Linked DNA regions of Arabidopsis thaliana. The protein of the gene in region 3 interacts with the protein of the main gene of each other region in a pairwise test. Each region holds a gene or a part of one and is shown on either strand. Other genes may lie near its edges.

Region 1 (7,422 bases), on a different chromosome or scaffold from region 3:
CCCCTTTCTCCATCCAGCCAATCAATCGGCGTGATTCAGCGTCCATAGGCATTAGCTTCTTCATCTTCAGATCTATATTGTGATTCAAAAGCGTCAGGTTCCCATTAAACAGTTGTAGAAACTTCCATGGTTAGTGTCTCACCTAAAGCAGGAACCGACATATCCTTGAAATACCGCACGGGAAAGAGGCCTCTGATGTAACTGATATTGAAGATGGCAGTACGGAGCAATTCCGTAGTCTATTTCAACACAACGAAGAACAAAACAAACAAGTCAGAGCCAAAAATATATGTATCGGCGTGATTGAGAATCGAAAGACGAAAATCCATCTCTAGACGCAGGACGCTACACACGCAAACTAAATCCAGCTGCGAAAATCACCAGCAAGGAACGAGAAATTGGAGCTAGAAGAGGTGACTTACCAAAATGAGCGATTGCTGCTCGTTGTTCTTGCTTACCACCACCATCTTTGGCTGAGAAATTTCGCCGGAAAAACCCTAGAATCGCATAGACGTATCTCTCTCTCTTTCGTACGGAAAAAGACTCAGAAGCGGGAGCGAGTTTGAAAATTTATAAAAAAGTTACTCAAAAAAATAGAGAAGGAAATTTAGGGGCAAGGTTGGTATTTGGCGATGCTAGTAGGGGTGATCCTATCAGTTACACTCTAACGGCCTACTATCTGTGTATACATGCTGTTGTAGGCATAAGTCCCAGGGTACGTCGCAAACCTTTTTCTATCAACGACACCTAAACGAGAGATTACCCTTGGCAAGAACCTTGTGGTGGCAGCCACTCTCGGCTGAATTTTATCTACGTAATAAACAAATACAAATCATTAAAAATCACTTAGTTTTGAGATCACTTAGACCACCTCCAATGTAATAAAAATAAATGAAAACAAGATATTAGGCTAAGGATTGATCCTAAGCTTAGAGTTTTAACATTTGTTAAAGACTTTAGTTGTGTTGCTTTGTGACTGGCTGAGAAAAAACTATATAAAAAAAGGATTATGCATTGTTTTAATAATGCTTAAATCTAGTCGTTATTTAAGTTTTTTGATTTGTATATTTTCTTTTTGCTTTTATATCATGATGTATGTATACAATTTTAATATTTGTAGTAATTATTAAGTATCAAAACCCGACTTTTGTACTTAGCATGAACGATTGAAATATGATTTGATTGAGTATCAGAGTATATATATGGCAAAATTTTGGTCCGAATCAAGCTTAAATATTATCCTTTTTCAAATTTTCATTTCTATATATTTTTTTGCTTTTATGTCATGATGCATGTTTACAATTTTATTATTTCTAATAATTATTAAGTTTTGTCAAATAAAAAACTTTATAATATTTTATTTTAAAATCTTTATTTTTTTTGAAGAAATCCTCTTAAAGTCTCCACCACCATTGGACAATAAAAAATTGTAAAGATTCAATAAAAACTCTAAACTTTAAATTATTTAATATTTATTATTATAAAATGCAAAGAGTTCTTGATTAAGACTCTCCAATAGACTTGCTCACAGTGACAAGTAAACATATTTAACCGCCAGTAATTCTACATATCCACAAAAGAATCATACAGATTAGGCTTATAAAGTTAATCAAAGCTTTATAAAATTACACCTTCCATGCATGTAGATGTACCAGCAACGATTCCTGCGTTCTCCAGGAGTTTCTCTGTCAAGGACCAGAGCCTGACAACTTCTGTTTTTACCTCACCAAGACACTCATTACTTCCTTCTGAATACCCTCTCTCTGGCATTACAGTGTGAGTTGTGTCGGCCTCAATGCTCATGTCAGCTTGAGTTAACAGTTCCGTGCTCATTTTTGCAAGCTTCTGTAATGCACTGGTCGCAGCTTCAACTTCAAGGTTAGCTGCCTCAAGCTGAAGCATCTCTATGGCCAGATCACCCATTGTTTTTTCCCCGACTCTCTCTTGTGCCAAGGCATATAGCACTTTCAAATCTTCACTGTCATTGATCGTTTCTTCTTTCAATTTCTTGAGTTCCTGCTCCTTGGCTTCTAATCTTCCCATGACCACGTTGATCTCTTCGTCTTTAAATGTCAAAGCCCTCTGCACCGCTAGAACTTCCATTTCTTTCATCCGTAGATTTTCTCTGGTGAAGCTTAACTCCATCACCAGCCGTTTGTTCTCCATTCCGTAATCATCATGAGGTTTCTCTAGTGGTTGCTGCATTGAGTCAATGCTTATCTCATTGTTAATCCTCATTGCATTCTGATTTTGACCGTTGGTGGTTGACATAAGCAGTCTGTTCGTCAATTCTGCAATTCTTTCCACCACCATTTCAGCTTCAGTGACTTTCAGCTTGGAACTGCCCAACTCACCTTCTATTCTGTGAAGGTGGACATCTTTCTCCTTCAGCATCTCAGTTGCCTCCATAAGCTGATCTTCTCTACTGATCATAAGTGCCTTTAGCTCTGTTACCTCCTGGTTCACTTCTCCCAATTTATTTCGAGCTTCAGCGAGTTCTTCATCCTTTTCTTGCAGTAATAGTTCTAGAGAAGCCTGTTCGGACTTCAGATGCTGAATCTCTAGTTTGGCCTCCACCAAACTTGACTCTTTCTCCTGAAGTAGATTTTGTGATACCTGAAACGCATTAGCTTTTTTGTAAAGCTCATCTTGAATAACGGATATATCATGCATAGCTAGCTCCAACAATGGTTTCTCTTTCTGCAACTCCTCTCGTAAATCCTCCAGCAATTCTTTTTGGACCGATATTTCCCGCTCAAGCGCAAAATTTTTAGCCTCAACAACTCTGAGCTTTACTCTCTCACTTTCAACTTCAGTGTGCGCATCCCTCAAGCTTTGCATATATGACAACACACTTTTCCTCTGTTCCTCGAGTTCCTCCAATTGTTTTTCCAATAGTAGCTCTTTTTCTTCCATTTGCTCCCTGGAAAATACCAAAGCTTCCCGAGAAGAAATAAGCTCGAATCTTACATCAGTCAGAAGCTTTTTCACTTTCATGAAGTCCTCCATGGTTTCATTGGCTTCTCCTAAACGTTTCACGGTTTCCTCTTTAAGCTTATTCACTTCATCCTGGGCTATCAGCCACTCTTCTGTCTGTTTCTTCAAGTTGGCTTCTGTTTCTCTAAGCTTTTCTTGTTCAAGTTTCTTCGTAGCCTTAGAAATCTCTAATTCTTCTTCCTTCTCCTCAAGAGCTCTCTGAAGTGCATATATTTCACCTTCTTGTCTCTTGACAACTTCGTTGGCTTTGCTTAAGAGTTGTGACTTGCTTTCAAATTCAGAAATAGCCATAGAAACCTCCTTGCTTCTGTTTGCAATCTCTTGACGCATCTTCTCTAGCTCTTCCTCTTTCAAAGTCAAGGACGATTGCAAAGCAGCACGTTCCTCGTCTCTTTCCCTTAGCTTATGCTTTAACTCTTCTATCTCCCTGGCTTGAGAAGCTAACTCCACATTTGCCCGCTTCAGCTCCTCTTGTAGACTCTCATGCTTCAACGAAGCTTCAGAGATTGTTTTCTCACGTTTTTCTAACTCCTCCTTTGCCCGGTTAAGTTTATTTTTGTCAGAGAGAAGCTTCCTCTCAGCATCGTGCAGGTCCTCTTCCCTTTTCAACAAGGCCACTAGCGCAGCCTCAAGGTCAGACTCAAGCACGCCAAGGTTTGAATAGGGGAGATCATCATCGTCAGGATAAACCGAGTGTTGATTGGTTTGTCTCTCCAATCTGTGTGTCCGAGCAAATAATTTATCGAAAAGAACATTTGCAGACTCAGCTGAGCCATTGTCGTTGATGTTGGGTCTTGTATTGTGCAAGACTGATTGAACACTCAGTAAAAGATGTCTCTTTCTCCTTGTAATGCTCGGGAATGCGACAAGACTCTTCTGCTTATGGTTTACTACTCTTGTCAAACAATACTGCATAAGAAAAAATCATATGGCCGACATCAAAATCAAAATCAAAAGTTTGATTATTTTGGACAGACACTAATCAATATGGATGCAAGCAAACTTATTCAAATTAAAGGAACAGTATTGAAATTTGCAATCTTTTTAAGCCAGAACAAGGAACAATCAGAACAAGGCCAGCAAAAGTCAAAAATTCAAGTTTGATAAAGTTAAGAGTAAGTAAAGTGTTGTGAATCAGCAGCGATATATAAATGAAAATATAGGGGATAATATAGAGAAAGGTAAGGAAACAAACATCGCAGGGAGAGGGAGAGGAGAAGGAAGCAAGATTCAAGCGAATGGCCTGAGAGAAACCCATCCTGAGAGCATAATTATGCAATCGCCATGGAGCTTAAAGACGGAACAAAACCCAAATCCACTGGATCAAATTTAACAAGTGGGCGTTTTGGAGAAGAATGCTTACGAGAACAAATCCAAGGAAGAAGAAGAAGAATCTAGCTAGGGAATGGATATTGTTACAAAATTCTTTTACCAAAAAAAAGGATACAAAATAATAAATAGAGGCTCGCGTTGGCTTGCGAGTTGTGGTCGCCAGTAAACTCGAAAGTCCTTTTTGCCCTTATTCATAAGATGCATGTCGGCATTGTCCAAATACACGGCCAAGGGATCTATTTGTAAAAATAATGGACTCTTCTTAATTACGTACGTGGTAACGGTTTTCTAGTATGACAATTCTCTTTCTTTCGCGTAGTCGGCTAGTCGCGTGGTTAGAAATGCTTACACACTAAAGAGTATGTTATATTAAACTGGAATATAAATTTAAGAAACTGAATAAAAGTCATCAGGCCCATGACATTGGCCCAATAGACCCAATGAAAAACCAATCCATCAGCTAGTTTTCTTAACATATCAACCCAACGAGGTTGTATCTTGTTACATTTGCAAGTGAACTTTTTTATCATTAAAAAATGTAACAATGGTATTTTTGGTTTAGTGTTCCTAAAATATTTGTTTCCCACATAAGATTTTATCTACACCAAATAGTCCAATTGTATAATATAATCCATCTTCACAAAAGCATTTTAAAGGATATCCTACCTTCTAAATTCCGGCGAAAAATATCTTAAATCTGAAAAAGTGATTTATCGTGAATAGTGTAATGTTAGCAAAATCTTAAACTTCAAAAAATCGTAAAACATAAAGAATTAAGTGTGACGGATTAATTAAGATATCGAAACCAACACAGTAATCCTCATCTATGACTTGGAAAAACTCATAAGTGGCAAGTGGAGTTCGAGTTTGGTCATTATTGTGAAACACCAAACCTAATCCACTTACAAATTCATTAAAAACTACAAATTTGTGTGGTAGTTTTTTTTTTTTTTTGGGAAATTTATGTGGTAGTTAATTAGTTAACAAACAATTATATATAAATACAAATTTTGTTTGGAGTTAGGTCCGCTTCAGCCTGCTTAAGCGATTCTAAGCTTAGTCGTATAATCGTATTAGCAAAAGCTCGAACAGTTTACTTCTTTACCCTGGAAAGTCTTATCATCATCAGTTCGTGTCGTTTGACTTTTTAAACTTTGCAAGGAAGGGTTTTGTGGTGGTTTGGGAGAATTAGGCAATTGTTGGTGATCCGATTTTTCTGGGTTTGGTTGGGTTCCTTTTTTATTTTTTAATAAAAAAAAAAAATGGCGGGTCAAGAGGATGAGTATGATCCAATTCTTGACAATAAAAGAGAAGCTGAAGCAAAATCTCAGGTTTCTGTTGCTGCTGATAAAAATATGGCTCCTTCTACTTCTGGTACTCCGATCCACAGATCAGGCTCTAGACCTCAGCTTGATCTAAGCAAAGCCGAAATTCAGGGGAACCTCGAGGAGAGAGATCCCACCATTTTATTGCCTAATCAGTCTGATGATATCTCTCATTTGGCTCTTGATATCGGAGGTGACAACAAATTTCACTTCTTTTTTATTTTCACTGTAGTTGACCATTGATCTAGTGCTTGTGGTTCTTCCAGTAGTATTTGGTGTCACTTCTTGGTTTTGGCAATTTCGATGTTTATTTCTTAAGTGCTATGTTTGAGAATTATGAACCCTTTTAAGTTTATTTGCAGGTTCTTTGATAAAGTTGTTGTATTTTTCACGACATGAGGACTACTCTAATGATGATGATAAGCGGAAGAGGACGATCAAGGAGAGATTGGGTATTACCAATGGCAACTTGAGAAGTTATCCTGTTCTTGGTGGTAGACTTCATTTTGTCAAGTTTGAGACTCACAAAATTAATGAGTGCTTGGATTTTATTCATTCCAAGCAGCTTCATCGCCGAGGTATTATTACTTTTATCCTTTTCAGTGTATGAAATGTTGTTTTGTATTATAAGATCAATTTCTGGTGATTTACTCTTCAATTCGTCTTCTTCTCCATTTCTTTTCAACTAAATGAATAGATCCTTATCCTTGGAGTTCAAAGACCTTGCCTTTGGGGACTGGTGTTATCAAGGTAATCGCATTTTTATGACTTGATTGTTTTTATCTTTATCACCTTTTGAGGCTCCTTCTGCATATATTTAGCTCGCTCTTTCATTTGAGATACCAGATAACATTTAAGACCCTCATAATTATTGTTTTTAGGTGAAACGTTTTTTATATTTATAAGTCTTGTATATCCATGTAATGTGATTTGCTGATTCGGCTTTGATTAGTTGATTATTACTTGTTTTAAACATATGAGTCAAGCGTACGTGTATCTTTCAGGTCACAGGTGGCGGGGCATTTAAATTTGCAGACTTGTTCAAGGAACGGCTGGGCGTTAGTATTGAGAAAGAAGATGAAATGCATTGTCTTGTTTCTGGAGCAAATTTTTTGCTCAAGGTAAGACCTTTCTTTATGCAACATTCCATTTATGTTGTCTCTGCATACATATTTGTACCTTTTATTACTAGCACTTGCGAAATAGAAACGTAAAGACAGACTCTCATTATATGTGACCGGTTGATTTGTTTGTTGAAGTTCTGAGTCACATGAGAGAAAAACAGCTGGATATCTGTATGTGTGTTTTACTATACTTAAAGTTCTGCTAAGACTATTGAAATTTTGCAATTAGTCTACTTTTCTTTTGTCTATTTGCATGTGTATGTTTTGAATTTATTCTTAGTTTCTTGCATTTTCTGCAGGCTATTCGACATGAAGCCTTTACGCACATGGAGGGTGAGAAAGAATTTGTACAGATAGATCCCAATGACTTGTATCCTTATCTTCTTGTGAACGTTGGATCTGGTGTTAGCATAATCAAGGTATTTGTTTACGTTTGCTACTTTTTTCACAATCAGTGTGTGTTTGGCTCCTTGAACTTCTGAATTGGGAGGTCAGAAGATTGCATGGACCTGTAGATTTCATGCAATGGCTTTTCAAAGTATAGGTTGATGGTGAAGGAAAGTTTGAACGTGTGAGTGGAACTAATGTTGGCGGTGGTACCTATTGGGGCTTAGGAAGACTTCTAACGAAGTGCAAGAGGTTAC
Region 2 (7,986 bases), on a different chromosome or scaffold from region 3:
TTCAAGGACAGCATTCAAATCAACCAGCGTCAATGCTCTCTATTACTCGACCTCTTCACCGCAGCCTACGAGTCAATTTCTGTGTCGATGCGATCCAATCTACGCTTCAAAGAGAAGAACACTAAATGGAAGATACTAGAACAGCCCTTAAGGGAGCTTCTATGGGTGGTTAGAGAAGGAGAGGCTTATGTTAGAATGTCTTTAGAGCCTAAACTTGGGTTTTGGGCTAAGGCTATTGTGTTGCATAGCAATAGAGATTGCACAGAGCTTCACATACATAACTTGCTCTCTTGTCTACCGATCATCGTCGAGGCTATTGAGACAGCGAGTGAGGTTTCAGGGTGGGATGAAGAAGAGATGAGCAAGAAGAGGTTGGTGCATTCTAACAAGTATATGAAGCAATGGAATGACTCTCAGATGTTTACCTGGAAGTTTGGGAGAGAGTATTTGGTGACCGAGGATTTCTGCAACCGGTTCGAGAGTGCTTGGACAGAGGACCGTTGGATTCTGATCAAGGAGCTTCAGGAGAAAAAGCAGTCCGGTTCGAGCAAACATGAACGGAAGATGGCTGATTTCCTTTTGAAGCATTTGGGAGATGGAAATGAGAGCCCCAAGCTATTTCCTTCTTCTCTTCTGGATAACACAAAAGATTACCAAGTGAAAAAAAGATTAGGGAATGGAAGTCAGTACAAGGAGATTACCTGGTTAGGCGAGAGCTTTGCGCTTAGGCATTTCTTTGGGGATATTGATGCTTTGCTTCCTCAGATTACTCCATTGCTATCTCTTTCACACCCAAACATTGTATATTACCTCTGCGGATTCACGGATGAGGAGAAGAAAGAGTGTTTCTTGGTCATGGAACTGATGAGGAAAACCCTTGGAATGCACATCAAAGAGGTATGTGGTCCTAGGAAGAAGAACACTCTCTCCCTCCCGGTCGCGGTTGATCTGATGCTTCAGATAGCTTTGGGTATGGAATATCTTCACTCGAAGAGAATATACCACGGAGAGTTGAATCCATCAAACATTCTTGTCAAACCAAGAAGTAACCAATCCGGAGATGGGTATCTGCTTGGGAAGATTTTTGGGTTCGGGTTGAATTCTGTCAAGGGATTCTCTAGTAAAAGTGCTTCTTTGACGAGTCAGAATGAGAATTTTCCATTCATATGGTATTCTCCAGAAGTTCTAGAGGAGCAAGAACAGAGTGGAACTGCAGGAAGCCTTAAGTATAGTGATAAATCTGACGTGTATAGCTTTGGGATGGTTAGCTTTGAGCTTCTGACAGGTAAAGTACCATTTGAAGATAGCCACCTGCAAGGAGATAAGATGAGTAGAAACATTAGGGCCGGGGAGAGACCGCTTTTTCCATTTAATTCACCAAAGTTCATAACAAACCTGACAAAACGATGCTGGCATGCTGATCCCAATCAGCGTCCAACTTTCTCATCGATAAGCAGAATTCTCCGGTATATCAAACGGTTTCTAGCTTTGAACCCGGAATGTTACAGTAGTAGCCAACAAGACCCGTCCATTGCGCCTACTGTGGATTACTGCGAGATCGAGACAAAGCTATTGCAGAAGCTTTCTTGGGAATCTACAGAGCTAACCAAAGTTTCACAGGTTCCTTTTCAAATGTTTGCATATAGGGTTGTGGAACGGGCAAAAACGTGTGAAAAGGATAATCTCCGGGAACCATCGGAATCAGGAAGTGAATGGGCTTCGTGTAGCGAGGATGAGGGTGGGGCAGGATCAGATGAGCAGTTGTCATATGCCAAGGAAAGAAGATTGTCATGCTCCTCAAATGATGTTGGTATGAGCAAGAAGCAGGTTTCAAATCTTCTGAAAAGAGCTTCTAGCCTGAAACCAATTCAAAAACCAGGTGAGATTATCATCAGCCAATATATATATATATATATAGGCTCCCTAACAAATATGAACTTGGTTACTTGTACTAATTTTTTTGTTTTGTGTCACTAGCCTTTGGATTCTGTTCAGGGACAACTCCGAGAGGACGATCAAGGCATCCGCCACTAAGCCCTTGTGGTGGGCAAAGCATGAGAGCAAACTCTGAGAGTCAGCTGATATTGATAAGCCCAAGGATACGACGATCAAACTCTGGACATGCCTCTGACTCTGAGCTTTCCTAGTCTGCAGGGAAAAAGAATAGGTTCATAATAGCAAGTTCAAAATGCTGTACAAGTCAAAAGACATACTAACTCGTATGTGGTGACACACACTCCACTACATATCTATCGAAAACGATAAAATTCTTCTTTATTCAAAGTTTCCTACAGATACTACTAGGCTCGTATATTGTTCAGGCTAGTGACTGATTGATTCAGTAGCTACTAGCTACAATATTATCTTAAAGGAAACAAATCATATGAGGCAAAATTATGTGCCTAGACTGTAGAGGCTCAACGCTGAAGTGAAGTAAACTAGGCCTGCTCCACTATTTCTACAATCTATCAAACACCATCAAATTACACTAATCAAATTTTGGGCTTCGAATGTGGATAAAAACATCAAAAATAAGGAACCTTGACTAATCTGCCTGAAAATTACCTTAACAAAAAAGGGGAACAGCGATTCCGCCGGGGACTAGAGACATGGCGTGGTTCGGAGCTTTGGCTCTGTCTCTCGTCAATTTCAATATCTCCGCCACCGCCGACTCCGTCACATCCATCCTCCGACGCTTTTATTATGTCATTGATTGTGATATGACCAAAAAGTCCCCACTCTAGTTTTAGATGAATGAAGCTATGATTTCTTTTTTTTTTTTGGTGATAAGTACGTTATTATGATTTTAATACCAACAGATTTGTCAAATATAACATTATAAGCAAGTGGAGTAAACAAACTAAGCAGCTGATTTGTACAAAAAATACTTTACAGCTATAACATTTGTCATTGTCACCCTAATATAAAATACAATTCCAACAACTAAAATACATCTCTAAACTTTTTAAAGATGATGATGATGAAAAGAATTCAAGTTATGAGCACGTCTGGGAACATGGCACACCATCTATTTTGACAAGATAATATTATACAATACATGTATAAAATACGTACACATTCATCGTTATAAACTAAACCCACCATGGCCATGATGAATAGTGTGTGTAGTTCAAGGTATTGTTGGTTTTGGAGCAGCGAGACACAAATATATCAAAGACCTAATTTGGTACTTTAACTTTCACCTTTCAAATGCAGTTAAATTCGAATCGATCCAACCAATTCATTAGTTACTACTATTTTTATTTTGTTGCATTATTTTTGGTCGTCACGTTATCTCTTGGTCAACTTGACCTGGTAAGACTCATAGTTTCTAGATATGTCAAAATTCTTAAACTCCATTGTCGATCTAATTGTTCCTAGTTGGTAGATTCCCGGGAAAACGAAGCAAGAAAAGTAGAGCTATTGTTCGAAGTCTTTTGATTATTTAAATAAATTCCTCTGAAATTTTCACAAAACTCCTTTAATATTAAAAAATGGCTGCGTCAAAGAGACTAAAAGCTTGATTCTCACCGGAGACGAAGAAATTGCCCAAAAAATATTCATAATACTGACGCCGGAATCACTCTTCTTCGAGGTGCGTTTGATTTTCCTATATCTCTCTGTCTTGTCTTTCCCGTTTTGGATGCTGTGCAATCATGGAAACTCTTGAACTAGTCTCTAGGAAAATTTTAAGATTTGCTCTACCATGTTACTATTCGCGGATTGGAGAAGATTCGATTAGAGAATTTGTTGATAATTTCGGATTTTGTTTGAATTCAAGGATTATTATTTCTGTTGCAGTTTAAACAAGCAAAACCCTAGAAGCTGGTCTTCGTCGGAGAATTTTTGTTTTTTTTTTCCGATGAGGACAAGCGGTGACGTTTATGGAGCAGATACTGGTTCCTCAAGAAGTGATGAAGACAGAGGCTTTAAGGAGGATCTCAATGAATCCGCTACTAGCCCGATGAGAAATCGCCTAGACGATTCGAATTCACGACCTGGTTCTCAGAGATTCGTCAAGAGCTCGAGAAAGGAGGAAGAGACTGATTCAGATTCTTCTTCTTCTAAGAACACAACCACCAGAAACAACCCAATTCAGTACACTGATAAACAACAAGCCGAGCTTTTGAGAAAGCTTGATTCTATTAAAGATCATCTTCTCCGTGGTGGAGGTAATAATGCTACTGTTGTTGATCAGCCACCAATGGGTTTCCATGCCCATCATGGACCTCCTCCTTCTTATTACAATCCATACCCTGAGCCATTTCCTTATGGAATGTATCCTACCGCGAGTAACCAACCTCATGTTCCAGCTTATAGAGACCCTTATGGATTCCCAGTGCATAGGATACCTCAAAACTTTTATCAAGGACCAAGTCATTACCCTAATCAGATGCCGCCTCGTCCACCCTATCCTCAAGGACAGTATGTAGACATTGGCTCTGATATACTTGAGTCACAGTTACAGGACCCTAGATTCTTTCCGGGTACGCCAAGTAGGTATGGTGATGTCCCATTTAGCCCGGCTTTGCACCACGGTGAGAAAGTTGGACCCTTTAGTCCACATGGTGGTGTTCACACGAGGTGGCCTAGTGAAATTGATTCTGAAATGGGTGGTGCTTTTGCTCGTGGGTATGTTCAACAAGCTGTGTCTGATACTGATTCACGTCGTTGCCATCCTCTAGCAGGCGGTGCGCCTTTTATTGCTTGTCACAGTTGCTTTGAGCTGCTATATGTGCCTAAGAAGAAGCTTCTTGGTCAGGAAAGGCAACAAAAGATGCAATGTGGTGCTTGTTCTGAGGTTATCACGTTCAGAGTTGTTGATAAGAAGCTTGTTTTCTCATCTTCTGCCCTGGGGGAAACTACGAACCGGGTTTCTGTAGAGGTTGAAGATAGAAGCTCACCAATCCCTGTGGTAGATGATTATCCACTCAATGATGAAGAACCAAGAATACACCAGGAAACGAAAATTGTCCATGCTGTATCGCCTAGTGATCACTCAAACGATGAAGACAGGTCAAGCATTTCTAGTGAGCCGCGGAAACAGGTCGTCAAGTCTGTTCGCAGCAGAGCCCAAGGCGCGAAGGTTCCTCCTCCTCCTCCTCCGGAAAAGTCCAATCTTCTTGAGCTCTTTGAGTATTCTAATGTAAACCGAGCTGCAATCACTTACGGAATGGCGCAGTTAGGGTACTATAAGCAAGAATCATACACGAAACAAGACTCCCTGAAATCAGAATCAGTAGCTACTGAGACAGATGTTTCTTATAATGAGTACTATACTAACACCGAGGAGTCTGAAGATTCAAGGATCTCAAAAGCCAGCAAAGAAGGGAGACGACCAAGAAACCGAAAGCAGAGTAGTGAGCACAGTTTCGCAGAGGTCACAAATAATATCAGTTCTAACGACCAAAACAACGAGCAGCTAGAGGTTTGGGTGAATGGGTATCTGATACCAGAAGATCTGGTTATTAGCGCTGAGAAACAAGCTGGGCCAGTTCAAGCTGGCAAATACTGGTATGTTTGGGGTTACGTTTTGATAAATCTACGTCAAAAGAATTGATCAGTCGTTCAAGAAACCATCTTTATGTTATGATTCTGACCAGGTATGATTACCGTGCTGGATTCTGGGGAGTGATGGGAAACCCTTGTCTCGGTATAATACCAGTAAGAACTTTCACATCTCTTCTATATTGCTTTGAATTCCAGTACACTGTTTCATAATTCTTTGTATTGATTGGTACTTGATGAGGAAATGGGAAACAATTGTTGGTTGATGCAGCCATTTATAGAGGAGTTTAGTCGACCAATGCCGGATAACTGCGGTGCAGGAAACACGAGTGTGTTTGTAAACGGAAGAGAGCTTCACGAGAGAGACCTAGAGTTACTATCAAGTAGAGGTCTTCCTCGAGGCAAGAACCGTTCTTACATCATTGATATAGCAGGAAGAGTTCTTGATGGAGACTCTGGTGAAGAACTTAAGAGTCTTGGCAGATTAGCTCCAACGTAAGCACAACACAATTCCATGTAATCAAATTTTTACATCAATCATTTAGTTGATTCTGAAATTTTATGGTTGAAAATTGAATCAGGGTTGACAAGGTGAAGCATGGATTTGGCATGAGGGTTCCAAGATCATTAGTCTCGTGAAGCTTCGTCAGCTTTGTTTTGACCTCTCTGATTTGTAAATTATTCTTTGTGATTGATATATAACACATCTTTGCTTATATTCTGACCCAAAACTTATTTGCTATTCTGTTTTTGGGTTTAGTTTCTTTTTTGGGGGTTCTCTTACAATGTTCCATTCTTTCTCTTACTTTTTTTTTTTTTGTCTAAGAGATAAACCGTATGGTTTTATATCTTGTGATCTGGTTTATGTAAATTGATCATTTTTTATTGTGGATAACCTGTTGCCTGTTGGGAAATAAAATAATATTTGTTTGATTTTGTGACAAAAGATAAATGTATATATTTATAGATCTGTCCAGGCTGTGTGTACTTGTTAAATCGTTTTCAAGAAAGAAAACACACTGGTATGGTAGATCCAAAATCAACTTCAAGTAAGATGGGTCCACGTAGCAAATATTTAAAGCCCATGGAATAATTTATTCACAATGGGCCTCGTGGTCGTGGTGTACCCTACTCCATATAAAAAAACAGAGTCGATAATCTAGTCTGTCTAAAACGACTAATTCATGTCTAAAGATTAGTTTATGTTTTAAATCACCGAGAACTAATTCTACCGTCTAGATAGAACGATTTTTTTTTTTTCTCTAGATAGAACGTTTAAAACAAAATTAGCATGAAAATTACCACGGTTATCAGAAGACAAAATATATTTTTTCGTCTAATTAGATGTGTAAAGCATAAACTAGATACTAATTTATATACTCACAAGTAGTTTTAGTTACAAGTTTCAACCATTAAATCTAAGTGCGAGGTCTCTGTCTTTAGTTGAAAAAAGAGAGAGAGAACAAGTCTCTATCTTTGCTCCTGATAAGTGATAATTAATCAATAAATACTGTAGGACCATCCTTATCGAGTTTCGTTTGATAGACACTACAAATACAAACTAATCACCTAATTTCCATAAATGTAGAGATTACTGTAATCCTGTCTACGTTGGAAATAATTAATGGTACCATGTCACCCGTAATAGCAATGGCTTAATCATGTTTAAAGAGACAACAAGTACACGATTCGCGCTTTACAGTTGTATAATTGTAACTTTAAAAACAATTATGGATGCCTAATCATTAGATTATTTTCTTCTTCTGAATATCTCTCCACAAATTAAATGAAGCCACGACCGACATAAACAAAGTGGAAACAATTACAGTAATTCAAACACATGCAAACAAAAAAACTCGAGTTAATTATTACTAACATGTTTTAGTACTTCTGAGAAAAAAAGAAAAAAACAGGATCCGCTGTGTCTTTTTTATAATGATGAAGTTCCTCGCTTTCAACGCCAACCAAAAACCTCCAGAAAGCTAATTAGGGAAACATTTGAAAAAACTCAGTGATCTGCTCTTCTCTCTAATTGCAATGGATTCATTGAGATTAATATCTAAGAGCATCAAGATTGAAGGAACCCCATTTGGTTCCTCTCACCAACGCAATCAAATTTTCCTCAAATCCGTCGCTTTCTTCCTTTTGATCGGTCTCGCTTACCGTTTTCTCATCACTAATTCCACCGTCTCTCCGGTTCCCACCGTTCGATCCTCGCCGGAATCTCTCCCGCCGGATCCTTCAGGTCTCACTGCCATCACTCAAACTTCAGCCTCTGTCGATTCCCCAGCAAACATCACAACCATTGCTTCACAGAATGGTAAGAGATCATCTTTTTCCGATCATCACTACTTTAGTCTCAAATTCAATAGAGTAAGACCCAAGCAACGTGAGGAAATTGGGTTTTGAGAAGAAATTCTTATTTTGGATTTGTGCTCACCAAGTGTTTGAACAATTGTAGTTTCAACCAAGTGTGAT
Region 3 (7,108 bases):
GTGGGCGTAAGAGTTGGGGGAGGGTACAGCCACTCACTCCAAGCAAAGATGATGAGAAAAACCCTGGTCTTGTCGAGGTTGATGGGAGGACGGGAGAGAAAAAGAGGATCTTTTATGGTTATCTCGCGACTGTAACGGACTTGGACAAAGTCGATGTGGAGACAAAGAAGAAAACCACAATCGAGAGCCTTAGAGAACTCACAAGAACAAAGTAAATTACAGTTTTCTTCTCCCACGAAAGGTACACTTAACTTTCGAGGTATTTGTTGCCTATTGAATCTGGATTCTTAGTCGCAACCTAAAAAACTCGAAAGGAGGAACGAAAGTTTTTTTTTTTTTTTTTTTAATTTATAGATGAAGTCTTGGTCTCTTTGATCCTTCGATTCAGTGTTCATATTGCATAGTCTAATATCGGTTGAACCTGATATATACAAGTTCTCTTTACCAACATCCTTAGAAGTATATTGTGATAGTTGCTTGATGCTTTTGATGTCCCTGTTGATTCTCCTACGTTCGTTTCTTCTTTCCTTGTTCTATCTCATCCTTTCGAATAGTGGTTCCTGCTTGTTCTTTAGGCTTTAGCCAGCCTATGGAAATGAGAATATTGAACCAACCAAACAATGTTGCCATAGTGCCATTGTATTGATGATGTCTATGACATTGAGTTATTGTTTTTGTTTGCACTCTGGTAGTAGCTTTATGTATTTGGTCACCTTAGATTGGTGACAACAATGGTGGTGTTTAGTTTAAGCTAGCTATCTTCTTTGAATAAAAAAAAATAAAAAAAAAATTATAAATTGGTATGAAAACAAAAATAAACATTAGATAAGAGGACTTGTATTTTGTGGGGGCTTTTGGTAACCACTATATAAATTTTGTTTTGTCTTTGTTTATAACTCTTTAATTGACAAGTTAGGTATAAAGTGTTTTGACGATTTTTTCCCCTCTACTTTCTTGTGTTCTGATAAACTTTATTACATGTCTTCATTCAAATCTTTGGTTCGCTCTGGCTTACCAATTTACACGTTTTGTTAAAGGAAGTTTGATCAGCTTCGGTTTAGGCCGTGTGATTAAGAATTTAAGATAAACCTTAACACTTATGAAAGTAATCAAGCACTATCCGGTAGTGAAAGTTAATATAACATATAGGATTATAGTTTGGCCAATATCATAACAACTAGGATATAATTTTATGAATGTACAATATGCAGGACAAAGTACTTTGTATCTTTTGATAGAGTTACATGCACTATAAGAGAATTAAACATATTAGAAAAAAGACTAGATTATGTAAAATGTCATAATCATATTACTATAAGACTAGCTAGACTGAGGTCAAATCAATGCATAAATTTAAATCATTATCTCTTTTGAATTCGATTATCTCCCTCACATTTTTCAAATTTCTCTACTCACTTTTTCTATAAAGCGGAAACAGTAATCGGCGGTTCATATGTAGTCGGCCATTACGGACCCATTTAATTAGATAAATTATTCTTAGCCGTCAGTTTCATATTTCGTCTCATTCTAATTTTGTAATGTTTCTCTAACCTTTTTGTAACTATAAAATCATACTCTAATAGCAAGAGGTCTAAAAGAGTAATGGATATTTCCCCTCAATAATGTGTTATATGTCACTGTCCCGTTTTAACATTTTGTACATATCAACAGAAAAAAGTTTTTATGATATATCCATTCCACTGATGTCAAAAAAGCAATAGCTTTAATAAAACCAAATTCAAAATTTCGTTTTTATTCTATTCTTCTGTTTTGATATCACAAAGATATTAAAAACATAGTACGAAGATTAGTTTTATATGTGTACTAATGAATCTTCTTTGTGGTTGCTTCATTATCACGTTTTAACATTTGTCACGCGTGCCCTGATTTCATTACAGCCTTTTCTACAAAACACATGCATTGTTCTTCTTCTTACATTACTACATTACACTACACAAAGAATTTCATATTAATTATAACAACATTTTTTTTTTTTTGCTATACTATATAGTTTTTTGTTATTCAATTGGTATTTTACCGGCAATGCTTCACTGGTTTCCGACTCAACGCATGTGGTGGTCAGTGGGCTTGGCCCACTTATCTCTTTCACCTTTTTTTTTCTTTATACGAAAAATTAAAGCAAAGCTATAGTAATAGTACTTATTATTATTACCACGTCATCACCCAACTCTCTTATACTACGCATATCACGCTAAGCTACGCGTCGACGGCGCAATATAGAAGAATATGTAATAATCGCGCCTTTAATCAGACTCCACTGAGACGTGTCGCTATTTCGAGTTGTCCACGTCACTGTTTCTTTTGTCTCTTATCTTCTTCTTCGTCTCTTTACTTTTTTCCCATTTCTAGGGTTTCTTCAATTTCACTCTCTCTCTTGAGTTTATTCTTCTCTGCTGTATCAATCAAATCAACGGAGTTTGAGTTTCTTTTCCGATTCCGGCGATGGGGTCAGTCCCCGATCCAGGCGAGTTAACTGAGTTAGCTCAGCCGAGTTTCGAGGAGTTTCAGAAACAGACGTCGTTGATGACTAGCTGTACTCTTCTATGGCAAGAGCTCTCCGATCACTTCACTTCTCTAGAGCAGAATCTGATGAAGAAATCTGAAGCGTTGAAGCAGATGATTGAAACTCTAGATAACCAGACTCAGACCTCGCTCGAGTCTCTGAAGCGTAGAGAGGTAACAATCGACCATAGCGTTGAGATCGTAGCTGGGAAAGTAGGTGAACGAGCTAGAGCTGCTCTTGAATCGTTAGAGAAAGCTAGAGATGGTTGTGGTGATGGTTCTAATGATGATTCCGGTGATGTTGACGATGAAGAAGGTCTTCTTTCTGCTTTGAAATCTCTTTGTCTTAAAATGGATGCGAGAGGTTTTTGGAACTTTGTGACGGCGAGGAAGAAGGAGTTGGAGAATCTCCGGTCAAAGATTCCGGCGGCGTTGGTTGATTGTGTAGATCCGGCGATGTTAGTGCTTGAAGCGATATCTGAGGTTTTTCCGGTGGATACAAGAGGAGATAAAGTTAGCAATGATTATGGATGGGCTTGTGTTGTGATTCTTGAGAGTTTAACACCTGTAATTGTTGATCCAGTGATTGGGAAATCGAGGTTGCTTGTTACTCCGAGTGTTAAGGAGAAAGCTAAGGAGATTGCTGAGACGTGGAAGAAGAGTTTGGAAGAGAGAGGAAGGATAGAGAATGTGAAGACTCCTGATGTTCATACGTTTTTGCAGCATCTTGTTACATTTGGAATTGTTAAAAGTGAAGATCTTGCTTTGTATAGAAAGCTTGTTGTTGGATCTGCGTGGCGTAAACAGATGCCTAAGCTTGCGGTTTCTGTTGGTTTGGGTGATCAAATGCCTGGTAATCCTCTTAAGCTCTTATCTTCTACCTATTAGTTTTTTATCCTGGCATGCTCATTGTAACTTGTGAGATCATATATGGTTTTGAAATTGGCTAGTTTACTAATAGTTTAACCCATCTAGATGTATAGTTTTGGTAGGTTACAAATAGTTTACGAGTTGATTAGTCGAATATTAAGTTTGTGTGGCAAACATTGTATGGCATAGATTGTGGTGAAGTCTGAGACATTAGTGGTACAAGGTGTTATTGACCACAGACTGTGTGAAGTTGAAGCCTTTTTCTCTGTATCTCGTTTTATAATATCTGAACTTACAAGTTGTTGCGCTGTCCACAGACATGATTGAAGAATTAATCAGCAGGGGACAACAGCTTGATGCTGTTCATTTTACTTATGAAGTTGGGCTTGTGGATAAGTTCCCTCCTGTTCCTTTGCTCAAAGCTTATCTAAGGGACGCAAAGAAGTCAGCAGCTTCTATCATGGAGGACTCTAGCAATACTGGCCGAGCTACGGTATCTACTCATTGCATCTACTCATTTCTATCGCAGCTAAATATTTTTATCTGTGCGTCCCTGAAAGTTAATATCTTCCTTGTTATGTTTTCTTCCTAAGCATCTCGTGGCGCGCAAGGAGCAATCAGCACTTAAGGCGGTTTTAAAATGCATAGAAGAGTACAAACTCGAGGAAGAGTTCCCTCCAGAGAACCTCAAGAAACGGTTGGATCAGCTAGAGAAGACCAAAACCGAGAAGAGAAAGCCAGCAGCTGTTCCTGCCAACAAAAGAACCCGAGCCAGCTACAACGGTCCAATGCCACCAGCCAAAGCCGGGCGTATCACAAACGCATACGTCTCTTCCTTCCCGTTCATCAGATCACCCTCTCACTCTCCTCAATACGCTTCACCAGCAGCTTACCCATCCCCACCTACAACAGTCTACAGCAACAGAAGCCCACCTTATCCATACTCTCCGGAGATCATCCCAGGCTCATACCAAGGCTCTCCTATCGGTTACCCAGCGTACAACGGTTATTGTAATGGTCCAGTTCCTGCTCCAGCTCCTCCAGTTTACCACCCACACCATCATCAACACCACCAATTCCACCATCAGCAACATTACTACTGAATTAGAAGACAGTGTGACAACAAAACAAGGAAGAAGATTGGTAATAACCAACAAATCACTGATACTGTGACAACTGCTACTACTCTGGTGTTCTCTCTCTCTGGGTCTATTGTCTTCCTACGTCGTCGTTTTTGTCTGTAATATCTCTTTCTCAGCCTAACTCTCTTAGTAACTTAGCTTATATCCTCTGGTGTGTTTATTATTAATCGCATATAAAACAAAACTCAAGCTTTTGTAATGTCTAATATTCAGTCAACAAACTTATATTTCTGTACTCTGTTAATCGAATGACAAACTTCTCTTCGTCACCAACTATCTCCGATCAAATCTAACATCGGAGGTCGTTGCTTTGAAGACATACCCACCAGTTCTCTGTTGAATTGCATTTCTTCTTCATTGAGCAAAGTGGTGATTCAATTTCGGTACAAGACACAAAGCCAGTGGTGAGAAATTTCTCTTTACCAACCTTGCACACCAGATGTTCGACGATATGTCTCTTTGAAATCTTACCGTTTAGTTTTCACGTGCGTTTTCAGAATTGGTCTCTTTTCCTTCAATGGCTTTGATGGTTTTGAGAAGAAAGTGTCTCCGTTTGCCAGATTTTATCTCCGTTTTTCGACCTGCACCGCGTTGCTTCTCCTCGAGATTTTCCAACAGTGAAAGTGGTAAAGTTACAGTGACTGGTTTGAGTGGTTGTGGTATAGAAACTGTGGATGATGATGTTTGGCATGTTTCATCATCTTTATCCCAAGCTTGGAGACAGTTCCAAGCAGACACTGCAAAAAACTCTCCCGTTACAATACAAGGAGTAAGAGAAACAATACTCGATGATGAAGATCCCGATCACGATGAAATCGATAACATGAGAATTCGCGGTGATCTTTTCTTCAAGCTCGATCGAGGTTCAAAAGAATTCGAGGAATACAACTATGACTTCCACCGCAAGAATCAACACAAGAACGCTAAAAAGGAGCAAAACCAAGAAGAAGAAACAAAGATAAAGAAGGATAACAAGAAGGAAGTTCGTGACGAATACAAGAAGAGAAATGACTCTTTCACAGGTGAGACGGATCATCCTAATGAAGCTGTGAAGAAGAGAGAAAGAACATTTACGTTTAACCAACTCACGGCGCCATTTCACTACCCGTTTTGCTTAGACATATACATCTCGAAAGAGTCTGTACGAGCATGTGTGATTCACAGGGTGACTAGTAAGGTTGTAACTGTGGCTCATTCGATTTCAAAAGACATGAAATTCGATCTTGGTTCGAGAAGAAACGTTGCAGCTTGCGCTGCGGTTGGGGCAGTTCTTGCTCAAAGAAGTTTGGAAGATGACATACATGATGTTATATACACTCCTAGGAAAGGAGATAAAATTGAAGGTAAGCTTCAGGTCGTGCTTCAAGCTCTTATTGACAATGGTGTTAATGTTAAAGTGAAGCTTAAGCAGAGGAAACTTAAGAAGAAGACTAGTCATCTAATGATGGCCTAGAGGACTGAAATTTTCTAGTTTGTAATATGGGCCCAGAAGATATGTTTCTGTGTGGGGCCCAAAAAATGTTATCCGTTTCATTTCTACGTTTCTTGTCGGGTCAAAGTGTTGACTTTCTAACAATGATATCATCGTTTTCTTATACGTAACTTCTCTGCTCTTCCATAGCCGATCGACCTTTGTTCACAATTCCCACCGATTTTTATTTGCTAGATCGATATATTTTCAGGTATGATGATATATATATCATGGTTTGTTTATTCATCTGGAAAGTTTTTGATGCATCATGATCAGGACAAAGTTGGCGTGAAATGAAAAGTTTTAAATAAGTTTTTTTTTTTTGTTGTTGTTGTAAACCTATAATCAGATGATGAGATGATCCTATATTAATCGAATATTTTGATTAATTATACATGATATTTAACAATTGCATTCATCTTTTTTCTTTTGTGAAATCTAAGCAGTGAGCTTGAAACATGGCTTCAGTGGCTCCTAAAATCGCTAAAGATGTAACTGAAGTAAGTAACCTCCAAGATTATGTCTTTCTTCAACTATGTCTTGTCAGTAAATGTTTTTTTTTTAATTGATATTTTTTATTATTTGGGAGCAGCTAATAGGGAACACTCCATTAGTGTATCTAAACAAAGTAGCTAAAGATTGTGTTGGTCATGTTGCTGCTAAGCTTGAGATGATGGAACCATGTTCTAGCGTCAAAGACAGGTGCTTCCGAAAAGTTTAAAAGCTCTGTTTTCTAGTTTCTCTGTTAGTGACAAAAGAAACAAATACTTGTACTTTGTTCTTTTTTGTTGCAGGATTGGTTATAGTATGATTGCTGATGCAGAAGCTAAAGGACTTATTAAACCGGGAGAGGTCTGTTTTTTTTTTTAAATGGAAGCTATTAGTCAGATTCTTCATTTGTTAGTTTTTGAGATTTTTAACTTTTGAGTTTTTTCTTTAGAGTGTGTTGATTGAGCCAACAAGTGGGAACACTGGAGTTGGTTTAGCATTTACTGCAGCTGCAAAGGGCTATAAGCTTGTTATAACAATGCCAGCTTCAATGAGTATAGAGAGAAGAATCATTCTCTTAGCTTTTGGAGCTGAGTTGATTCTTACTGATCCG
Region 4 (7,877 bases), on a different chromosome or scaffold from region 3:
CTAGCAACCGCGTCTTCCCCTTCCTTTCTCTTGCACGTTTCTTGAAGCTCACCAGATGAATTGTAGTCCTCGTTAGTGACAACTCCATTAGCTGTCGCATCACCATTTCTTGAACAGTCCTGCTCAGTTTCCCGGCTTTCATCCAGATTAACCCGAGGAGATAAAGACGTGACTCTATCGATTTTCAGGTCGTCCAAACGCGACAAGCATCTGAACCTTTGGAGTTCTTCCTTGTTTATGAACCCTACTGCAGGATCATCAATAACAACAATTCCTTTCACAATCTCGTGGCTCGGGGAATACCTTTTCTGCGGGTGAAGATTCGTCGGGAAAAAATGCGTGAACTGAGGAAACTTTCCACTTGGTTCCAATGGTAGATATCCCTTGAGATACATATAAATCATGTCTGGATGAAGAAGGAGGCTGGACTTGGCGTTTCTGAGTACATTATAGTACAAGTTCTGTAGCTGGGAAACAGTTAGAGAGGAAGATCCAATGTGCATCAAAGTGTAAGGTGGCAAACCTCTAGCTAATCTTTGAGAAGATGAACATCTTGGGTTATCAGAATAGACATCAGGACCCAAGTAGTTGCTCATGATGAAATTAACCAAGAAATACTGATCACTCGATAATCCGTCGCTATACAGACTCATATCTTCGATATCAATGAACCTGCATTACATATGAAAGTGGCAACATTGTCACAAATGGAAGCAATAAGGACATTCCAAAAACATAGTTACAGGACATAATTAAGTGTCTCAAATTTGCCAATTTAGTCATAGCATTGAAAATCTCCATCATTTTAGTCCCTAGATCTCTTAAGTTTAACCCTTTTCTAACAATGACTTTAGTCTCCATAATGTTTTGCCTTATCATTACTAAGGAGAAAACATCTTCAAATTAAACCCTAAAAACTTCACTTATTAACAGCAAAATCTACATTTGAAAAGACTATGTTGATATTTTGAGAAAGATTAGTAACTCTGCTTCATATATACTCTTCACAATACAAAAAAAAAAAAAAAACCAATTTTTACCCAGAAAATATCGCAATCCAACAATTTTTCACTAGTTAGCTCAAAGTCAACAATTTTCCTTAAATCTAAAGGTTACTACGCTTGAATACGAACCAGTTTGTACTTTTTACAGCAAAAATCGATCCCACATTGTTCCCACCACAGAAGATAAATAGGGATTATGCAATTTCAACCTTACAAGTCCAGCGATTGTGAAAATTCAAGCAACATTCATGGAGAAAAAACGAGAAGAAATTCGAAGCTTAAGCATGACAGAAAATTCTCAGTGGCAGATTTTACCTTTTTTAATTTCGTCGTGATGTTTTTGGGTTGAGGAGGATGATGGAGGTGAAGAGAAGAGAGATTTCTCTGCGAGAAAGAAATGTTTGGTGTAAGGAGAAAAATGCAAAAGAGGATGGGGGTCCTTTGCTTGCTACACGTGGCTACCACGTGGGTCCCGCAAATAACCGCATTTGGAGGTATCACTTGTCACCTGGCTCACCACGTGCCGTCTTGTTGAAGCACTTTTGGGCCTTTTAAAAAGTATAAGGCCCAAATGTTTTGTATGTCTTATTCTCATTGATAAAGCTTATTCTTTTAAACGAGAGGAAGTTGTAGGAAAATGGGAACATTAATCTTGTTTGTGCTGACTAAACTATCTCTAAATCAGTTTTCTCGGACATCAAAACATCATTACTATGCCACTACCTCATTATGTAATCCTTTTAATTATGTGTTGATCAATTTTTACTTTGATGGATCAAAGAAGGAAACGTAATTACATCCACCCCCAAAAATTGGACTCTTTAAAAATGGTTTAAATGACGATGAATTTAACTAAAAACTCGAATCTATCATCTTGAAAGCAAGTGGTAAACGAAGTGATAAATGGAGTATAAACAGAGGAATCAGAGTAGAAGATAGGAGTCATAGACAGAAACAATTGAGAAGAACAATTTATCAGTCTAGAAACTGTACAGACATAGAAAAGAGAAGAATCCTGGAGCTAAAATTTATGCACAGACAAAGAAGCTGAAGTGAGCTCCATAGTCATTAATTTTTTACTTACAATGCAGAGGACTTGACTCAAGAGGACGTGAGAATCTACCTAGTAATATTACCAACACTCATATGCCTTAAGAGAGTGTGTAGTAAGAAGACTACTTTTACCACCCAAAAGAATCAGATGTTGATTCCACCATTCTATATGCATTTATGTATGTGTTTATATATATATGAACTTTCTTTGTACACCAAACTTATTCCTACCAGTTTACCGCGAAAACCCTTGTTTCCGGGGTGAAACTATTCATATAGTTTATGCCATCAAGCTTGTTGTGGGCTATATACATAGGATGAGAGGGTTAAAGATAACAGAAGCACAAACCCTGAAACTTCCATTCTCCTTTCCCCCTTTTTTGACTTCTTCAGTGAGCAAGACTACTTAATACCTGTAACGACGGTAATGAGGTGAGATCGAAAACATTTGCAAGTACTGAAACTTAAAAGGGCACCTAAGGAAACAAGCTTACCTCTAGAATGCGAAAATAAATAATGTGCTAAGCTTAAACAGGAAGCCTGCCAGAGTAGCATTTGTCCTGGACTTCTTCCCTTTTCTGCAATCTTTAAGGATTACTAACTGAAAACCGATAAATAACAATGAGGTCGTGTAAGTGTGTACGAACTTCAATCCAATTTGGACCATCAAAAAAGAATCCAAGAATTTGCTTACGTTGATCACCCTGTTGTCTGATCAGAACCGCTACTCTGTATATACTGAGGAGGAGTCTGGACGATGACACGTTGGTGCGTTGGAGCTGAAGGAGAAGGGTATGGAGATTGAATAGCAGACATAGGTGAAGTGGCACCAAGCTGTAGAACATGACTTCCTGGATGTGAATAACCTTGACCCGCTGTATAACCGTGAGCACCAGGAATAGTATGGCTCAGTTGCCCATATTGATAACCCGGTGAGTTAACTGCCCCAGGTACTCCATAAACCTGAAGGTACTGTTGACCCATGTAAGGACCATAGAAACCCTACAACACCATGAAGAGAAGACATGAGTTTATAACTAAAGCCACAACAGTTTAAAATGCATAAAGAAGGTAAGAAGGAACTGCAATAATTTCAAGCGCCTACCTGAGACTGTGAGTACATGTAGTCAGGTCCATATGGTGTAACCCTGAGAGAACCCCAAAAAGCACAGCTAATATTAGAGACAGGTGAGTAAAGTTTTGGCTAAACACTCTTTAAGAAAAGAAGAGTAACACTTATACAAAACAGCTAGAATATGTTATGCTACGAAAGAAAGATGCTAAGCTAGGGGGGAAAAACCTAAGTCCACTCCAAAATGTCCATTCCAAAAATCTAGGTAATTTTGCCCTATCAAAGTCCAAAAACATTCATGACCTTGCCTGTCCAAAACAAATTGAGCTCGGCCACATATCCTCTGCAATTATATTTTTGTATTCCTGCAAGTTACCAATCACAACATGTCACATGATAGTGCTACACTCAAGAACCCTAAGTGGCAGAAGATACAACCCCTAACGCAATAGAATCTCTAGATGATTGTCCATGATGTGATTGGTAAATGCCACTTGATCAAAGTGACTGAAGGACTAGCATGTAGAACATTAGAACTGATACACTCATCAAAGCTTGTCTGTTATAGCAGATTTACAATAGCAACGAAATGTTCTGAGCTTCAAATTGCATAACTCACCCATAAGGGTACACCACTCCTTGTTGGTAGTTATAAGTAGGGGGTTGGTGATACGGATGGCTTCCAAAATGCAAACCGCGAGGACTCTGCACACTTCCAACATATGGGGAAGGAGGTCTTACCCGTCCTAACCAAATAAAAGAAGCAATGCAGTGATTCAAGGTTAACACGGTCATAATCCTTGAAAAATTGAATACTTCACCAAAATTATAAAGGTCTCTGTATGTAATGCGAAGAAAAGAATAGATGAATACTGAAGTAAGACTGACCAGGAGCATGGGGTATCACTGCATATTGCATTGGAGGCCTAGATCTCCCAAGAGAAGCGAGATTACAATTCGCTCGTCTGCCATCTATAATAGGTGTTGGATCGACACAGGCTCTCCTAGCAGCCTCTGGATCTCGGAAAGTCACCTAAATCCTCCATACAAATCATAAACATAGCGGTAAGTCATTCTACAATCATGAACATAAACCAACAGATACATCAGAACAAACAAATGAAAGAGACTCCTCTAATTAGCAAAGATAGACAAAAGTTTCATCAAAACACGTATTTTCGAATTCAACTTCTTTGAGTTTATTCAAAGAACTAGAAATCATAAGTCAAGCAGATCATTCACCAATCTAAAGCAACATTTAGTACCCAATAATCTATAAGCATACCATGGAAGCAGAGAATGTTTATTACAAGCAGTATAATAAACCAACTTCAGATATTAGAAACCAAAGCATGAACAAAAAGTAGGATACTCACAAAGCCATAACCTTTGGATCGACCAGTGTTCTTATCAGTAATAACGACAGCCTCAAGGATATCACCATATTGATCGAAATGCCGACGAAGAGTCTCGCTTTGAGTCTCCCAGGCAAGGCCACCAACAAAGACTTTAGTAAAGGTTGTGTCACCAAAAGGAGAATTCAAGTAATGAAACCCAGAGCTCGGAATCGAATGATACGCCATGGATTAGAACCAAAGACGGAAACTTTGATGAAGTATGGATAGAGACAGATCCTAAGACTTGACCCGGTAAACCCTAGAGATAGATTGAATGATTAAACCTGAAGATGAAGAAACAGAACATATAAATTTGAAAAGAGGAGATTCTAGGGTTTACAAGGGCCTTCGAAGAGAAGAGGGTGAGAAACAGAAAAAGTGAGATCGGCCCCAAAGAAACCTAATAAAGGATCATACTTGACAAGTAATGATCATGACGAGAGAAACAAAAAATAGAGAGAGAGAGAGAAAATTTCCCGGGAAAAAAACAGAAAAATGAAAAGAAGTTAGGGGAAAAGGGGTTTAAAACTTTGAAAGATGTGCCACGGAAGAAGAGAAGACTCGGTTCCGGTAGGTACACAAGAATGATTCTAGGGTTGCTCAATTGGTAGAACAACAGAAAACGAGAGAGACGAATTCGAATCAAGCGTTGGGGAAAATGGGGAGGAGAGAAAGAGGGATGATTTTGAGTGGTTTTAGGGATTTAGATAGAAAAATACAAGGGGACAAGGAAGGATTTGTTTATGGAAGTTTTAACATTCATGATGATGGTGAAGAAGTTGGTGATGACGAAGACGATGATGCGTGATTATGATTCATAAATTCTTCGAGAGAGAGAGAAAACAAAAGGAGTTGTTCTTCACCCTGGGTCCCACTCGAAATCATCTAGTAATTATGATTAACGCTGTAATTAATTAGAACACAAATTGTGGTTTTGTCCGAATCCTAGTTTGGTTCTTTTATTATCACAGTTGGTTGGAGTTATTTTAGCGGATTACTGCCGGGAAATTAACGGTTATTTCATACATTATATGAACAAAAAAAAATTCATTTATTTATTAAAAATATGTGTAACCTCTTTGCTTTTAATTAATTACTCCCTATTCCCAAAAGATAATACGGTGTACTTTAGAGTTATTCATCTTGTGGAATGTTGTTTGTTGGATTGAAATTCAAACGGATAAGCGTTACTTAACTATATACGATCAAACCATACAAGTTCAGAATAGGACTTCCCGCGTCTGAAAAACATGAAATCAATCTAACACATGTAGACTTATATACTCTTCTTTGAGTGCGGTGTGGTAAGGTAAGGTATATGAATGAGGCAGTGGACATGTAAGAACTAAAAACCATACAAAATTAGATGAACAAACATCAAAATGCGAACAGAGTAACAAAACAAAGAGGTGAGGAAACTGTATTAACCATGCTTCTTCTTAACGATCACGATCTACATCTTTGATCAGAAGATAAGATGGGAGGAACCGGGGAAGAATCAACGCGACAACGAGACACAAAACTACTAAAACCACCACTGACCAGCTTGAGTGAGGGATGCCTAAGAGCTGTTCTTCACAAACTGTCAACATGAGAGTTTTCAGACTCTAGAAGAAGCACTACACTTAATACAAGTTCTTATGTTGTGAAAAGAAGAAGATTGATGAGATAGTAAGTAGAAAAAAAAGCTTGCCTATGTTGTAAATGATGGACGGTCTTTCTTTAACATTTGGTATAGCCACGATTCCTTCAGGTTCCACCGTCACCAAAACATACAATCCCTCCTAAATCAGAAACAAACTCCTAAACTTGTATTCGTTCTTCTTTCTAAGTTTTAGGAACTAACTGAAGAAGATGGCAATACCTTGTTATCAACTTCTTCAATACTTTCTGTTTTGAAGATCAACTTCTCAGTGTTTAGTAATCTCCTCATATGGTTAACCTTCAAACCCATTACACCGTTCTTCAGTAATTGCAGCGAAAATAGAGCCGGTATCTGTTATCATAACAAAAAAGGATGAGATTTTTAACAAGCACAAGAACCTTGGAAACATAAGAACATAGAACAAGATAACAAATTTGACATACAGAAGCTGGGTATGATATCTTGACTTCATACCAAGAGTTCGACTTAAGCCCTTGTAATTTGTAAACTCGAGATCCAGATTTCAATGGCAGTGTCTCTTTCCAAAGTTCCTTCCCAGCATATAAAGTTTTTCCACCAAACCTAAGAGAAACCTGATAACATCATTTCTACAGTACCAATAAAAGAATCCAAATTGATGAGTTTGGGGATAATGTGAGGTTTTTCAACAACACTTACAGTCTCTCATCGCTATAACAAGTCACAAAATTTATGAAGACGATAAGACAGATGAGCAAGTAGCATTCTTTATAGCGTAAATCGATCATCCTACGAGTTCTGTATCAATCCCTAAAGAAGAAAACGATTTTTGTCAATTTGATGAATCGGTTAAAGTATCAGCTTCATGTTAAGCAATCTCTGCAATATTTTCTCTCAGCAACGGAATACGAAAATACCAGAAGTTATAAAACGCGCGAAATCGAATTGACTTACCAGAGATCAGTCTCTCGCCGGAGATGACAGTTTCTATGCGACAATTGGATCGGCGAATACGATTCCGGCGACTTCGGAGAAAGACTCAAAATCGTTGTCGACGATCGCTAGCGTGAGACTTGGGCCTTTGATTAATAATGTACTGATATATTGATTGGGCTAATTTGAGGCCCAATTTAATATACTTGGCTTGTAGACAAAGTGAAAATATAAGCGGATCATGACCCGTCCACGTCACTCTTGCGAAAATCAGGACATAAACTGTACACGTGGTCAGATCTCCACGTCGAGATATCTACGTGGCGAGTTCTAAGGATATTTTGTCCTGTCTTTTTGTGGGGTCCATTTATGGGCCCAAAGGCCTTCGACACTAACTCAGAAAGTCCAAAATAGTAAGGTAAACATGTGGGCTCCTTTATAAACCAAATTGGCAATTTGCCCATGTTGCTTCCTTCCTACTAAATAGTTAAATTCTATTCAATATATCACCTTTATTTTTGGTTTTTAGATTATTATACGTCAATAAAATCACCTTTTAATGTTTACTATATACAAATTATAATATTTAATCCAACAATATTTTCTAACACCTTTTAGTTTGATAGGTTTTCTCCACAAATTGACTAGAAAAAAACAATAAATAGGCATTTAGTTTTGAAAAGACACTTGGTTTTGTTTTATTCTCCGGCTTTTTATTATTATAAAATAATTTAAAAATTGGTGGATGGGGTGGTGGTAGATCACAAGTCGCCAAAGATGTGAGAATGGGATTG

Evidence for each region.
Region 1: the proteins of AT3G22440 (region 3) and AT4G32190 interact in a two-hybrid assay, tested with the Arabidopsis thaliana proteins (one large-scale study listed by BioGRID).
Region 2: the proteins of AT3G22440 (region 3) and AT1G01440 interact in a two-hybrid assay, tested with the Arabidopsis thaliana proteins (one large-scale study listed by BioGRID).
Region 4: the proteins of AT3G22440 (region 3) and AT1G20880 interact in a two-hybrid assay, tested with the Arabidopsis thaliana proteins (one large-scale study listed by BioGRID).

What each region holds. Positions count from the first base shown.
Region 1 is NC_003075.7:15,541,885-15,549,306, reverse strand, and holds AT4G32190 (Myosin heavy chain-related protein), read right to left. Parts: upstream 4,508-7,422; 5' UTR 4,256-4,507; coding exon 4,193-4,255; intron 3,907-4,192; coding exon 1,618-3,906; 3' UTR 1,450-1,617; downstream 1-1,449. Other genes in the region: ASY2 (DNA-binding HORMA family protein), read right to left, coding at 1-72, 143-239, 423-467; PANK2 (pantothenate kinase 2), read left to right, coding at 5,592-5,847, 6,017-6,232, 6,352-6,404, 6,659-6,775, 7,078-7,197, 7,323-7,417. UniProt on the Arabidopsis thaliana protein: Required for the initiation of starch granules biosynthesis in leaf chloroplasts. Involved in determining starch granule number and size in chloroplasts.
Region 2 is NC_003070.9:158,096-166,081, reverse strand, and holds AT1G01440 (hypothetical protein (DUF3133)), read left to right. Parts: upstream 1-3,128; 5' UTR 3,129-3,595; intron 3,596-3,801; 5' UTR 3,802-3,862; coding exon 3,863-5,514; intron 5,515-5,603; coding exon 5,604-5,664; intron 5,665-5,779; coding exon 5,780-6,003; intron 6,004-6,089; coding exon 6,090-6,147; 3' UTR 6,148-6,454; downstream 6,455-7,986. Other genes in the region: AT1G01450 (Protein kinase superfamily protein), read left to right, coding at 565-1,977; TBL25 (TRICHOME BIREFRINGENCE-LIKE 25), read left to right, coding at 7,546-7,828, 7,970-7,986.
Region 3 is NC_003074.8:7,957,391-7,964,498, forward strand, and holds AT3G22440 (FRIGIDA-like protein), read left to right. Parts: upstream 1-2,362; 5' UTR 2,363-2,463; coding exon 2,464-3,376; intron 3,377-3,710; coding exon 3,711-3,886; intron 3,887-3,986; coding exon 3,987-4,496; 3' UTR 4,497-4,981; downstream 4,982-7,108. Other genes in the region: AT3G22430 (RNA recognition motif XS domain protein), read left to right, coding at 1-215; AT3G22436 (uncharacterized protein), read right to left, coding at 508-630; AT3G22450 (Ribosomal L18p/L5e family protein), read left to right, coding at 5,053-5,988; OASA2 (O-acetylserine (thiol) lyase (OAS-TL)), read left to right, coding at 6,814-6,858, 6,947-7,108.
Region 4 is NC_003070.9:7,260,123-7,267,999, forward strand, and holds AT1G20880 (RNA-binding (RRM/RBD/RNP motifs) family protein), read right to left. Parts: upstream 5,434-7,877; 5' UTR 4,713-5,433; coding exon 4,506-4,712; intron 4,163-4,505; coding exon 4,018-4,162; intron 3,876-4,017; coding exon 3,749-3,875; intron 3,206-3,748; coding exon 3,163-3,205; intron 3,060-3,162; coding exon 2,757-3,059; 3' UTR 2,752-2,756; exon of another isoform or gene 2,697-2,751; intron 2,659-2,696; 3' UTR 2,552-2,658; intron 2,471-2,551; 3' UTR 1,887-2,470; downstream 1-1,886. Other genes in the region: AT1G20870 (HSP20-like chaperones superfamily protein), read right to left, coding at 1-653; AT1G20875 (uncharacterized protein), read left to right, coding at 1,359-1,559; AT1G20890 (caveolin-1 protein), read right to left, coding at 5,966-6,108, 6,220-6,310, 6,391-6,522, 6,615-6,753, 6,850-6,938.